Arabidopsis thaliana: one gene and its partner. The protein of the gene in region 1 interacts with the protein of each later gene in a pairwise test. Each region holds a gene or a part of one and is shown on either strand. Other genes may lie near its edges.

Region 1 (7,255 bases):
GAAGAAGGTGCAAGAGCAATTGGGTAGTGGATCCATTAACAACCAAAGTTAGGAAAACAATCCCACCTGTGAGGAATAGAAACTGCAAAACAGCTGAAACACATCAAGATAACAAAAAGAGCCTCCAGAAAGAAATTCAAAAGTAGTTCATACTGTGTTTCAGAACTCACCCTTGTTCCCGTATCTGAACTGAGATATGAATTTCCACTTGATTGCTGAATCATATGACCGAGAGCTATAGTATGTCAGAGAAAAGGAAATGGGAACATGAATATAAAAGATTTGAAAACAGATTTGAAATTAGTAGATATTGCTCTTGCATGAATGAAATGCCATTTCTTCAGAACTCACTTTTACAGATAGAGCGAGCGACAGCGAAACAGCACCCCTTAATCCAGACCACGTGAGTATGATGGATTCCTTCCAATCCAACCCATAGCCAGAACGGCATAGCAATGGGTACAAAACTCCAACAACAACACAGCGGGAAAGTTGGACATACAAGTATAAGAGGAAAAGGAAGCTCCACGAGTTTCCTGAAAAGAACGTTACGAGTAATGAATGGTCCTCTTAACCCCAATATATGTCAAAAAGAAAGCTACTGCGGTAATGGTATCAGGAATTAGCGATGTTATCCGTTAATCATGACGAATTCTAGGAGAAAACCTCCCTTTACATCTTCCAAGAACAAAATAAAAAAAAAATCCGGACGTAGAATAATAAATTGTGAAGAGACACCTTTGTAAGATATTGTCTGACCGCTAAGAACGCTTTCAGCGATAATAACTCCACTGCAATTCACAAGAGACACACATGCAATGATCTTGTATCAATCAGGTATCGGCTAAAACATCGTCTGCAGTATTTTGTTTGTAAAATAACCAGTAAATTTTTGTTTTCGAATCTTGCCAGACAGTTCGTACCTGAGCATAAAAACTAGTGTATTTGCAATGTAAGCGGCCATTTCCCTACAAAAGTTATAGGGCAATCATAAAAATATAATATATACATGTAAAGATTTCCTTTGATTTGACGAAAAAAGAACACTGAGTTGTGAAATACCAGAAGTGATGCAGACTCTGGTGACTGTCCCCCTTAAAAGCTGTCCTTGCAAATGCAGCGAAAAACCTATTACAATTATGTTATGAACAATGGCTTTTTGACACATAACAACAGAAAGAAGGGATAATTTACCACGACTTACATCCCCAAAATCATGACAGTCAAAATTCCAGAAACCCCAGCCCACTCTTGAGCCTGTACATAGTAGAAATTTCTTAGGTTTCCTAGAGATTTAAGATTCTCCATTGGGGACTAAGTTATGTAGAAGAGAAGAGCATACAGTGTAATAGGCGAAATAGCTCGCTGAAAGTGTTACAGTGATCTGAGCCACCGTGTCATTGAATATGAATTTAAGCCAAAAAACTGATGCAATTCCAAAAGCTAGACCAATGCCTACACTAAAAAACCAGAACAACATAAGCGGAGAAAAGAAGACAGCGACATACAATACTACTAACAAAGGAAAATAATCCATACGCTCCGAATGAGTTTTGGACAAGAAATTTGATTATGGAACCCCAATCAGAGTTATGCCCCATCACCATCTTGAAGAATAATTGAAAAACCACAACCGATACCCTGAATAATCCAAACAACTAAGCTTGATCATATATGACATAACATCACCTTGATGCTAAACATAAGAGTTTGACATGGTTACCCATCGTTCATGAGAGATTCCCCATCAATTAACGTGGTCATCTTCTTACTAGCACCAAGCTCCTTTAGCAAAGCAACAACAGCCACGGGGTCGGTAGCTCCTAAAAGTCCTCCAAGCAACAATGATGTTTTCCAGTCCCAGTTATATGGAAAAGTAAGCTACAAGAGCATAACTCGAAAAAATTGTTAAGTTAATTGAAGCTCACTTAATCACAGTCGAAAATGTTGAAGCTAGTTAAAGTACCTTTATAAGAGCTCCGAGACAAAAGGTGGAAATCAGAACTCCAGGTCCAGCAAGCAGAACCATTTGTCCCATACATCTCTACCAATGATGTAAAACAATCAATACCAGGAACCAACACAGCCAAGGAAGTAGCTCAATCAGGAAAGTAAAAACCTTGATCTGGTGCACATCCATGGAGAATGAGCTCTCGAAAAGAAGAACAGGGAGAAAAACAGCCAAAAGTAGGTCAGGGTTGATACCATTCCCTGTAAAGTTGCCATTTTTTAGAGCTCGTAATCTAACAGTATGGAGAAGAGAAAATACAGTAGCTTACAGATACGAATTCCATGGCCGAGCTTCCCAAGGTTATGCTTAGTTCCATATTCTACAGAAGCAAAAAAATCCAAAATTTAACTACTTTCTAAAATCTTCCACGAAATTGAAACTGAGCTATAAAGCTTAATGAGCAAACAAATAAGACCTAGGGATCCGAGAAAAATGCCGATGACGAGAAGAACGACGGTGTACGGAACTCTAGTGCCGTTAAACAAATATCTACAAGCGGTGCCGAGAACCAGCGAAGTTCCCGCGAAAATAACAGCATCAACAGGACTCGAATCGTTCTCAGCTGAATACGAAGAAGATGCAATTGCTTTCTCCGGTGATTTGTACGGCAACGCCGCGCCGATTATACTCGTCATCTCCGGTAGAAAGAAGCAAACGATCAATCTTTCGTTTTGCCAGTGATTACGGTCAAAGATGCTTTTACCGAACCGAATCTGCTTCGTTTAAGAGTGAACCAAGATTGAATCTAGTCTGGTTTGGCTTGACCTGTTTTATTTCGGTTACGTCTGGTTTTCTATCACTAATTTGAACGAAAATTTGAGAAATCTTAATACGTTTTTGATTAGGTTTCTGTTTTCTTTGCTAGATATGAATGTAGTTACTGGATTATACTACTCTGTTCAAATGAAGGGTACATATATTTACATGAACCAAATTATGAAATAACAAAACCGACTCACTCTAGTCTCTAAACTTAACTAGTGTCACTTTTGTTTGTTTGTTTTGATCCATACTTCAATGTATCTTGTTCAAATTGTTTGATTTTATTTTTGGTATAAGTGGCTACATTGTAATTTCTTGCTGATTCAATCTATAAATCGAAAACCTTAAATTATCCATGCCTCAAAACGATGCACGTTGTGTATAAATGAGAATTTTAAATTGTTTAGTTTCTATAATTGCTGTCATGACGTGAGATCATGCAAAGCAATTACGTACGATAACGCACGTAAAGGAAAAATGATTATCAGATTCATATATTTTTTTTTTCAAAAACTTGGTCTCGTGTAACATCATTCGTCATTCTTCATATTCACTATACTATAACCACAAAAGATATTAAAAAAATAGTCACTCCACTCCACATCTAATACAAAGAAGTAATAATTTAACTATTCAAAATTTATGAAGTGTTAATACGATAAGATTTTCGACCCAAGGAAAAAAAACACTATAAGATACATAGGTTTGGCAGAACAATTAGTTCGCTCACTGCCTACATATTCTTTTTTTGGTTTAATTAGCCTACATATGGGAAAATGATTTGTATTTTGTTAAATGCCACTCACATTTGTTATAAATAATTAGTCTTGGTTTCAAAAGCCATATATTTATGAATTTATAGACATTGATATTTATTTTTATGGTTGGAAATGGTATAAAGTATTATTGACTATAGTTTTTTTATGTATTTTTCTTATGAAATAAAGTGAGAAAATAATAAAAATATTAAAATTTGTGTAGCTGACTCGAGTTTGATTGAAGTCTTTGGTATATAAATATTGTCGTTATTTCCTCCATTTTTCTCCCTCTTCTCCCAAATAAAAAAAGTTACTCAGATCTCACGATTTGAGCAGAATACGCAATGAGGACACCGACGACGATTCTCCTTCTTGTCGGAGCTATCCTCTTCTCCGGCGCCGGCTATGTCAGATCCGACGCCTCCGACCACCGTTACAAGGAAGGAGACACCGTTCCTCTCTACGCCAACAAGGTCGGCCCATTTCACAATCCAAGGTAAACGGAAACATCTATTCTAGATCTGAGCTTCAGATCTGAGGTTGTTTCCCATTCTTAAGCCTGAGGATGATAAATTGATCGTTTATTGTTGAATCTGTTGCTATTGAATTGAGTAACGACATTGATAACTGAGTACACTGCAAAATGCGTAATGTTAAAACCAAAGAGTGAAAGAAGAAACTACATTTGGAATGTTTTTCGTTTATGTGATGGATCTGTCTTAGATTTGAATACTATTATATGACTGATTTTGGTTTTGTTCAATGATGATTGCAGTGAGACGTATCGATATTTTGATCTTCCCTTCTGTATCCCAGGTATGCTTATATCTTTACTAGCTTAATCACACGATTTGTGTTTAAGCCGCAACTGATTTGTGTGACATCTCCTGATTCGATCATCCCATTATTGAATATGGTTTATAGAGGGTGTGAAAGAGAAGAAGGAAGCTCTTGGCGAGGTTCTAAACGGGGATCGGCTAGTTAGCGCTCCATACAAGCTCAACTTCAGAGATGAAAAAGAGTCTGAGGTATACTGCAACAAGAAGTTGAGTAAAGAAGAGGTCAAACAGTTCAGAAAAGCTGTTGAGAAGGACTACTACTTCCAGATGTACTATGATGATCTACCTATCTGGGGATTCATTGGAAAGGTTGACAAGGATATCAAATCTGATCCGAGTGAATTCAAATATTTCTTGTACAAGCACATTCAGTTTGAGATTCTATACAATAAGGACCGTGTGATCGAGATCAGTGCTAGAATGGATCCTCATTCGCTTGTGGATCTCACTGAGGATAAGGAAGTTGATGCAGAGTTTATGTACACTGTGAAGTGGAAGGAAACTGAGACTCCTTTTGAGAAAAGAATGGAGAAGTACTCTATGTCTTCTTCTCTTCCACATCATTTGGAAATCCACTGGTTCTCCATTATTAACTCCTGTGTCACTGTCCTTCTTTTGACTGGATTCCTTGCAACTATCTTGATGCGAGTCCTCAAGAACGATTTCATGAAGTAAGTTTCAAGTTTCCTCACTGTCGACTGTTTTACACTTGTCTATCTCATCTAACCTTATTCCAATGCTTAAAAGGTATGCTCAAGATGAGGAAGCTGCTGATGATCAAGAGGAAACTGGATGGAAGTACATTCATGGCGATGTGTTTCGGTTCCCTACTCACAATTCTTTATTTGCTGCATCGCTCGGTAGTGGCACTCAATTGTTCACGCTGTAAGTCTCTCATAACTCGAATACTTTCCATCTGGATACACTTTCATCCATATCCGCATTTCTTCTTACTGTAACTAACTGTAGCTTTTCCTTTTATTCCATGTCATCAGCACCATATTTATTTTCATGCTTGCTCTTGTTGGAGTGTTCTACCCATACAACCGAGGAGCACTCTTTACCGCTTTGGTGGTCATTTACGCTCTCACTTCTGGAATTGCCGGATACACATCTGCCTCTTTCTACTGTCAACTTGAAGGAAAAAGCTGGGTAAATATTTACACATGATGAGAATCATCCCTGTCTCTCAAAAAATCATCTTCAACTGAAATAAACAACTTCTCCCTTTTTTGACATTATTGCAGGTGAGGAACTTGTTACTCACTGGATGTCTCTTCTGTGGCCCATTATTCCTAACCTTTTGCTTCCTTAACACCGTAGCCATCACCTACACTGCAACCGCTGCATTACCCTTTGGAACCATTGTGGTGATCGTCCTTATATGGACTCTAGTTACCTCACCTTTACTCGTTTTGGGTGGTATCGCGGGTAAAAACAGCAAAGCAGAGTTCCAAGCACCATGCCGTACAACCAAATATCCTCGTGAGATTCCACCACTCCCTTGGTACAGAAGTGCTATTCCTCAGATGGCCATGGCTGGTTTTCTTCCTTTCAGTGCCATCTACATCGAGCTTTACTACATTTTCGCTAGTGTCTGGGGTCACCGGATCTACACCATCTACAGCATCTTATTCATCGTTTTCATCATTCTCATCATCGTCACTGCTTTTATAACCGTTGCCTTGACTTACTTCCAACTCGCTGCTGAAGATCACCAATGGTGGTGGAGGTTCGTTAAACTCAGCTAATCGTCTCTATTCTTTTCTCTCTGACCATGAGAACTTGAGTCTGATTCTACAAATTTCTATTGCAGATCATTCCTATGTGGTGGATCGACCGGTTTGTTTATCTACGCATACTGCTTATACTATTACTACGCACGATCAGACATGTCGGGTTTTATGCAAACCTCGTTTTTCTTCGGATACATGGCTTGCATTTGCTACGGATTCTTCTTAATGCTCGGAACAGTTGGCTTCCGCGCAGCCCTCCTCTTTGTCCGTCACATTTACCGGTCGATCAAATGCGAGTAAGAAGGTCTGTACACCAATCTTCTTATGTTGATTTCCTTCTTCTTCTTCTGCCTTCTTACGAATTTTGCTTAGAACAAAGAAGATAAAGAGATAGGTTGTTAGAAAGAAGAGAGACACAAAGACAATGTCTGATTATTTTCTAAAGAAGCATCTCTTCTCATTAGAGGTTTTAGCGAGAGTCTCTCTTCTTCTCTCTTTATTTTGGGCTACAGAAATTAAATTACTTGTATCCTTTCTATATATTTTACCTATTGTAAAAGACTATCAATACCTTTGAATTCGAGTTTCTTTGTATCTAATAAATTTCAAAACACACATATTTTCTCCTTCATATATATCTTCAGTCTATACTGCACAATAAAAATAATAATTTGAAGATGTAACTAAATAAATATTGGAGAGCTAAATTGAAGTAAATTGCATATTTTTGTACTTGTTTGGATCCAATTGAAAGATCCAAGGTTGATACCACCGACATACAAGGACATAGTGTTAGCTCTTTAATGGGCCAAAATCTCGGCCCAACTATAAATGGTTTCATTGACCAATAATTAGTGCCACTGATTTCAATTTTGAAATTCGAATCCTCCTCCTTTGGAATTCAGAAACCCTAGAGTTCTTCAGCGAGCGAACTCTGTCTGCGATTTCTTGTTGATTCTAAATGGATCTCTCGCGAGAAGTCGATGACTTTATCAAAGAGACAATCGATCACTCTTTAGGGCTTCCGATATCCATGGACGTTCTCCAGAAAAAGCTCTACACGGCGGAAGAATCTCAGCGTCGTCTCCGTGAACAGTATCTATCTCTGGTTTCGAGATTGAAAGAGAAAGAAAAAGTAATCGATCTCGT
Region 2 (7,255 bases), on another chromosome or scaffold:
CTTCTATGCAGAATATAAGAATACTGGACCAGCTTCATCCACGAGGTGGCGTGTCAGTTGGAAAGGGTTTCATGTGTTGGGTAGAGCTTCCGATGCATCTGCTTTCACTGTTGGAAAGTTTATCGCTGGTACAGCATGGCTCCCACGCACCGGCATACCCTTCACTTCTGGACTCTAAAGACCGTCTTTGGTTTTTCGTGTTTAAGTTGCAATGATATAAATTTTATACTTTTGAATATATAACTCATTATGCCTATTATGAAACTGAAGTTTTAGCTATAGATGGAAGAACGAGATTTCAGTACCACTGCAAAAACATGATCGAAACGAATTTTCGAATGTTACATGTCCTAATAATTGTCCCAAACAGAAGTAGCATTGCATATTGAATATCCAGAAACGAGGATAATAGTAGAAATTAATGTAGAAGACCCACAAATGAGAACTTTAGTTACAGTCGTTGCCAAAGTTTTGAACTCCAAATGACCTAGAACTACGAAGAACAAAGCTCTAAACACAAACCCTCACGAACTAACGTTGTTTAGAATCATGAGGATAGAAGATATGAGTACCTAACAATCAATGAAATATGAGAGAAACAGAACGAACCCAACTGCTGTTTGTAGTTATACATTCTCCATCTACAGCCCTAATGGGAGATCAGAATACCAAACCAGAGTAGATTCGTAAATGATGGAACAGACTCAGCAAAAGGACGAAAACGAGGAGAGCAAAACCATCATCATGCTGAAAATTAGTATCAACTGTCCATTTGTCATTGATTTTGTGGCCGAGCTGTGATGTTGTTCCCTGGAGGAAAACAGCAAATAAGAGTTTCTTAGTTTGTTTTACATAAAGGTTAAATTAGAGAAGCAGAGAGTAAAGTTTCTGATCCTTACTTTTGCATGGCCTGAAGAGCACCACAATACATAACATTTTCAGGCGGATCCATTTCCGTACTTCCGTTTTCCTCAGGGTTTATAATTCGCATGTATGTTTCTTGGCCAAGATACCATCTGTCAAGATTCTCAACCCGGATATTCCAAACTCCAACATTATCGAGAGAAATAAGTACAGCAGTCCATGCTCCTGGATAGACCTGAAGCAAACGTTAAAACAAAAAAGTACCCAATAAAGTAAACCTGCTGACCAATATTATCACTTCAAATGGTGTACAGAGACCGATTGCAAATGAGAGTTTACCTCCACCGTGCTTCGTGCTACTGCATCCCAGTTGTTATAAGAACTGTTTCTGTCTTCTGACCATATACCAAAGTCCATCCTGGAATACCAAAATTTGAAAATCCTCGTTAGACCAGTTAAACTGATCGAAAATGTAATAAATGTACCCAAGAGTGGCATGATTTACTTACGCAACCACGTAAAATGCATATCCATCAATATGGAAGCTCTGGATTTTGGTGTCATTGTTCTGGAAGATAACTTGTATAAAGCCCTTGTATGTTGCGTTGATGATAGAGCTGGACAAACGTGGAAGTTTTTCATCAAGTGGTCTGTCTGGAAAATCTAACATATAATCTCCTTTCACTTTATGGTCATCCGCAAGCCTCATGGGGGTGCTTGGATTGACAAATGAAATTCCATTAAGTGTAGCACGAAGTTTCCCATTGATTTTTGTTGGAGGCAAACTCCTCAAGATGTATGTTCTTGTAATGTTGATCTGTCCGTAGTGAAATGATCCCTGCGGATTTGGACGAGCTCCACTTGCAGATGTGTTTTGCCTGCATATGAAAAGAATCAGGATCACATTTACATGGCTACAGGTTTATGTGAAACATTCATTTGCTTGAACAGTTTTCTAGACATACTTTATGGCTCTCGGTTGGTTCATTGCAGACCAAGGGTGATTAACATCAGTTGCTGAAACTGGCAAAGGACCAGAAGCAGGTCCTTTGGAATTGGAATAATGGAGAATGCCAACACCTGTGACTCTTTGCCACACTGTTTCATTAACAAATCTAGCACTCGCCACAATGTAGTAGTCACTTGTGGCGTTTTGGTCCATGGTTACCAGGAAAGAATAAGACTGTCCCACATGAACATCAAAATCGGTGAAGTTCATTTGGGAGGTGTAGCGACCCTCAGTCTCAATCAAGAGCAATTTGTGGTTCTGAATCCTGAAGTTCAAGCTTGTCGAGATACCAACATTGTGAACACGGATCCTGTATGTTTTCCCTGTAAAATGTAACTCAGAATGAAGTAAGAGGGAAGAAATATCAAAGCCAACTTTGATTTGCAAAGCAATGACAGCAACAAAAAAAACTGAAACTGGAGATCCAATGCACACAATTCCACAACCAAATGCAAATGGAAACAGAATGAAAGCAAAGTTAAAATACAACTCTAAAAATGTTACCTGGATCAACATTAACGGTTTCATGTTCAATTCCATCAGGTACACTGCTATTGTACTTGAAAGGACCTTTCCCATTGATGAGTACTCCATCGGGCATCCCAAGTTCTTTACCAGAGTCAAGTATCCTCCTTAAAGCCTGAAAGAAAACAGAGTTTCACAAATATAAAAACATAACACTCAGAACCAAAAGTCATCACTAAACACCATCTAGACACCAAAACTGCACTTACTGTATGGTTCTGAGTATACCAATCACCAATAATAAAGATGATTTCACCATCAGGCTCAGTGAACGGAATAGGAACAAGGTCTCTGTTATTGATTATGAGTGCACCAAAACCACCAGAGGCTCTCTGAAAGTTAAGTGAAGGAGAGTAGAAATAACTTCCAATCTGATCTTTCAACTGAAAATCATAAGTGAAGTTCCAATTCGGTGGAATTGGACAGTTTGTTCCAAGAACACCGTCTTGCCACGAGTTACGCCTCATCTGAACACCAGGCCTATCCAAATAAACACAATGTCAGGAATCACAACAACAAATCCTAAGAAGCAGCCACAAGTGATTATGAGAATGTTAAGAGATGGATCATCACCAAGTAAGTAAAAGAGGCTCATCCAAATGATTGAGTACGTTAACATGAACATTGTAGTTTGTCGTAGCGTTAATCACAGGACCTGGAAATTTCCCATTGACTGCTATAACCTACACACGAAACAAAATCCAATCTGATAAGCTCAAACTTTGAAACCACCTCCGACGAGTTAATCGTAATGTTAGATCTAGAGCAACAACTACGTTATTAGCAAAATCAAGGAGACAAAATCACTAGATTAACGTTTCAAAACCTCAATTTCGAAGGAAAAAATAGGGTTTTAAGAGGGAAAAAAATGGAAGCGAAACGAAACCTGTTGAGGAACACCGAGAGGAGAAGCAGTGATGTAGGAGAGGGTGAAATCGTAAGAGACGTAAGGATCACCAGCGAAAGAGAAGCCGAAGATAAGAGCGAAAGAGAAGACGAAAGCGAAGAAAAAATCAGTAGCCGCCATTTGTAATAATCTCAGTGATTTTTTGAGGTTTTTTTCGCTTTCTTCGTTGATGATCTTCGGGTTATAGGAACGACATTATCGGAGCAACAAATCGAAAACGATGATGAAGAAGAAGACGAAGAGGAAGAAGAAGAAGATGAAGAGTGTGTAAAGTGTGTGTGTGGGTTTTTTGAAACTTCTCTGACAAAGAGGTTGAAGAAGAAACCAAAATGAGGAATTTATATTCTCTATTTATTTATTAATTTAGTGACACAGATTTTGCTGTTGATACTAATCCCTAAACGCGTTAGTATTACTGGTTACCGAATTAACCGGTTCGTCTAAATTGTAATTAATTTGTAATAAAGTTAAAAATATGTGTCTATATATAAGTGGATGTGCATTAGATACTGACACAATTACGCCAATGATTCTCATTGATTTCTTATTATTGTTTCTTTCTATTTCTACTGATTACATTCCATTAACGATGTGTAAATTCTTATTTAAGGAAACTTCCATTTCTATAAAGATGTGATTTTATTGATAATTTTGGTAGATACGTGTGTGGTATGCTTTTGTTTGGGATCTAATTGCGTTATAAATGTGTGTAGACTGTAGACAGTTAATTAGTGTTTCTTCTTCAAATTATGTTCATTTTATATCCTAGAATAGTTTGATTTGATTATTTTAAGAACTAACATAATGTACGTACATAATGTTGACAGCTAATGAGCTTAATGAGACCTTGAATTATGTTCATAAGCTTATGTACGTACATAATGAACATAATTCAAGGTCTCATGAACATAATTTTAAGCTTATGTATGATACGTAAATAATGAACATAATTCAAGGTCTCGTTTATTTTGCCAACAATATAATGTTAACCTTTTCGATTTCTCATTTTCATATTGCATGCACAAGACTCTTCCTTAGTCGTTGCTTTTACATTGGCATTTGAAATGTTATGTGTCAACAGTGATACACTTACATAAAAATAAAATAATAATAAGAGATACACTTAAAAAATGAGTTTCAAGGGCATGCGTTTGATCTCGTTTCATGTTGTTTACCACGAGCTTTTATTTCAATGCCTACATAATATAGAGATTATGACGAAAAGTTCAAAGAAAGGGACTTATCAGTAAAGAAACAAGCATGGACATTTTCTTCTAAAATCACCAAGGCCTCAGTAGATTTGATGCAAATAGGTGTCTTGTATTGAGTTGAAGAAGCACCTTGAGTGATGAAAAACTCCATGAGAGCATCAAAAGTTCCTTGCTGCACCAATCTTATCTCCAAAGCTCCAATTAATCCACCTTTACTCCTATATACTCTATAAGAATTGTTCAATGATTCTTCCACCACATAGCAACATTCTACCAAAACATTCTTATCGATTTCAACAATGTCGTTGCGGTATTTTGCTTTGAGCTCCCAATAAAGAACATAATGACCCGGAGTAGTAGAAATATCCGCATAGCTTGTGAAGTCCATCAACATCAAATTTGATGATTCAAGAACCATCTTTGCGTCTGTGACCGCGTTTAAAAGGTCTTCATCTGTAGTTATCTCCAAATGAATACTTAGAGTCAGATTTCCTCTACGCACAAATCTAAATTGAGGTGCATTATTATAAAATCCAGTCACCAGTAAAATATCACCCATCTTATATCTGTGTAGGCCTAGCAAAAACAAAAACAATATAATTAATCGATTAGTCGAGTGTATGTATATATATCAATAATTTTTCCTAAGTACTCACCGGAATGATTTGTGACCAAGGGCTCGTAATAGCACCCTAACTTGACATCCACGAGATCAACAATTTCGGTTTTGTCACCGGCATCAACAAGTAGGAACTCAAAATATGACAAGTTGGGCAGAAATGTGTATGATACATTTTCTGGTTTGCAAAGAGGACTCATATTAATACCAAACATAGTTTCAGAAGATACGTAACTCGAGGAAATCGATGGCAACTTGTTAGAGTAAAACTCCAATGTTGGGATGTGTTGAGCCATTTGACCGGTTGCAATGCATTCTATGAATTTGGCTTTAGGCCAAAGTCTTGGAACTATACCTTCCCATGATTTATTGTTGCATTCATTTTCTATGAGATCAGCCAATTCAGGATTAGGCTCTCCAAGAATCTTTGAAACGGAGTCTCTACAACTAATATCAGTGATCCACTCACTAAGATGACCAAAACGGATATTAGTGCAAATTTCCTTCCAAGAATTCTCAAGAAGATTTATTGCTCGGACCAAAATAGTAACAAAGGCGGCACCAACCTTCACAACATCGTCTCTTTGAACAAGACCGCATAGAAGATGACAGTACAAAGTCTGCTTGGTGTCTGAACACAATATGACTTCGTCAGGGCTTGTGTAAGACCAATGCCAATACGATGGTCGGTTCTTGAAATAATCACTCTTGAAGAAGCTCGTCGATGCAGCTGATGATGGCAAACCAGAAGGAGTTGTGTTCTCTGATGTACAAAAGTTAAATACCATTCCCTTTCCATGTTCAAGACCATCTATATGCCTATCATGACACCAAAAGAGACTTTCATCAATAATCTACAAATATAAAAATGTTTTATTAAAAGAATATGTTGTGTTATCATCATTACTTGCTTATAACGAGCGATCGGTAATAAAAGATGAATTTTATGTTTTCCAAGTACTTGTTGTTACGAGGAAACATCTTCTGTTTTCCTCCGGATGTTCCAGAACTACAGTGAAAAACCATTAGAGCACATTATCTCTAGAGTTTCTAACATCACTCACATTGATTGTATAATAACCAATGATAAAGTTGCTCTAATACAATTTTTGAAAAGAAGAAAAAAGCCAGGAAATGAAAAGTATATACCTTAGAAGGAATCCGGTAATGGGGTTGCCAGAGATAATATCAGAGGGCTCTCCATTCGTGACACGATCGATAAAAGGCTTCACATCCTCGTAGGTCACCACAGGGACGTTCTTCTTGAAAAGCTCTTTACTAGAGCTCCCATGGAGAAAACGTCGAAGATACTCTGTGTTAGCATTAAGTGTGAGTATCTCCTCCAATACGTTGTCTTGTATTTGCTTCACATTGGACGTCAAGTCCTCTAAAATCTCCTCGTCTAATTTCTCAGTGAGATCAGAGCATAAACTCATATTTGGTTGTCTTTTACTTCATCTGAAATCAGGAATTGGACACTTGGCTCTTTTTATATAGCAATAATGGGGTCATGCCATGAATATTCAAATATTGCTAGTTTATGTATATTAAAGACAAACGAGCCTTCTCTATATATGTAATCTTTATAATCTTTAGATTCACGGGTCACTTGAGATATTTTTACAGTAAAAAATTAAAGGCTCCCATGCACCAATGACATACCTTTACGTAAAGCGCACGGTTGAACAAAAGCACGCTTCTCCAACTCACAATATTTCACAATTCACATGTAAGAATCTGAGACCTATATATATCCAATTTTTCATGTTAGAATTCTTGAAAAATGAAGCTAAACATCGTTAATCCGACTTAAATATATAATAATTATGTACTGTCAGAATATCTTTATGATTTACAAAGTAAATCTCCGTTTTCTACTGAATTATACTTTGGGATATTCAAGATTTGATATGGGGGTTCGAATTTTGCAGATTTTATTCAAAAATTTGTAAACGCATATGTAATATAATCATGCTTATTCAAACCAAGTATGGCTTGAAATTAATTTATGCACATATTTTCCATGGCACTATTTGGCAATTCCACAACTGCATGCAGTTGCAAACCGTTGATAAAAATCAACATTGTTAATGTTCATTTCAAGATGGATGAAGATTTGT

The links. The genes of interacting proteins can lie anywhere in the genome.
Region 2: the proteins of AT1G14670 (region 1) and SKS2 interact in a protein complementation assay, tested with the Arabidopsis thaliana proteins (one large-scale study listed by BioGRID).

The regions. Positions count from the first base shown.
Region 1 is NC_003070.9:5,033,794-5,041,048, forward strand, and holds AT1G14670 (Endomembrane protein 70 protein family), read left to right. Parts: upstream 1-3,782; 5' UTR 3,783-3,875; coding exon 3,876-4,027; intron 4,028-4,306; coding exon 4,307-4,347; intron 4,348-4,455; coding exon 4,456-5,041; intron 5,042-5,117; coding exon 5,118-5,255; intron 5,256-5,365; coding exon 5,366-5,522; intron 5,523-5,617; coding exon 5,618-6,102; intron 6,103-6,186; coding exon 6,187-6,406; 3' UTR 6,407-6,804; downstream 6,805-7,255. Other genes in the region: NHX8 (Na+/H+ exchanger 8), read right to left, coding at 1-82, 171-215, 352-536, 739-791, 924-968, 1,063-1,128, 1,205-1,257, 1,343-1,460 and 6 more; AT1G14680 (early endosome antigen), read left to right, coding at 7,068-7,255.
Region 2 is NC_003076.8:20,906,603-20,913,857, reverse strand, and holds SKS2 (SKU5 similar 2), read right to left. Parts: upstream 3,655-7,255; 5' UTR 3,426-3,654; coding exon 3,285-3,425; intron 3,082-3,284; coding exon 2,972-3,081; intron 2,879-2,971; coding exon 2,608-2,878; intron 2,514-2,607; coding exon 2,378-2,513; intron 2,197-2,377; coding exon 1,830-2,196; intron 1,743-1,829; coding exon 1,374-1,742; intron 1,283-1,373; coding exon 1,204-1,282; intron 1,100-1,203; coding exon 900-1,099; intron 811-899; coding exon 705-810; 3' UTR 311-704; downstream 1-310. Other genes in the region: AT5G51490 (Plant invertase/pectin methylesterase inhibitor superfamily), read left to right, coding at 1-178; AT5G51470 (Auxin-responsive GH3 family protein), read right to left, coding at 4,518-5,092, 5,173-5,954, 6,043-6,144, 6,285-6,571.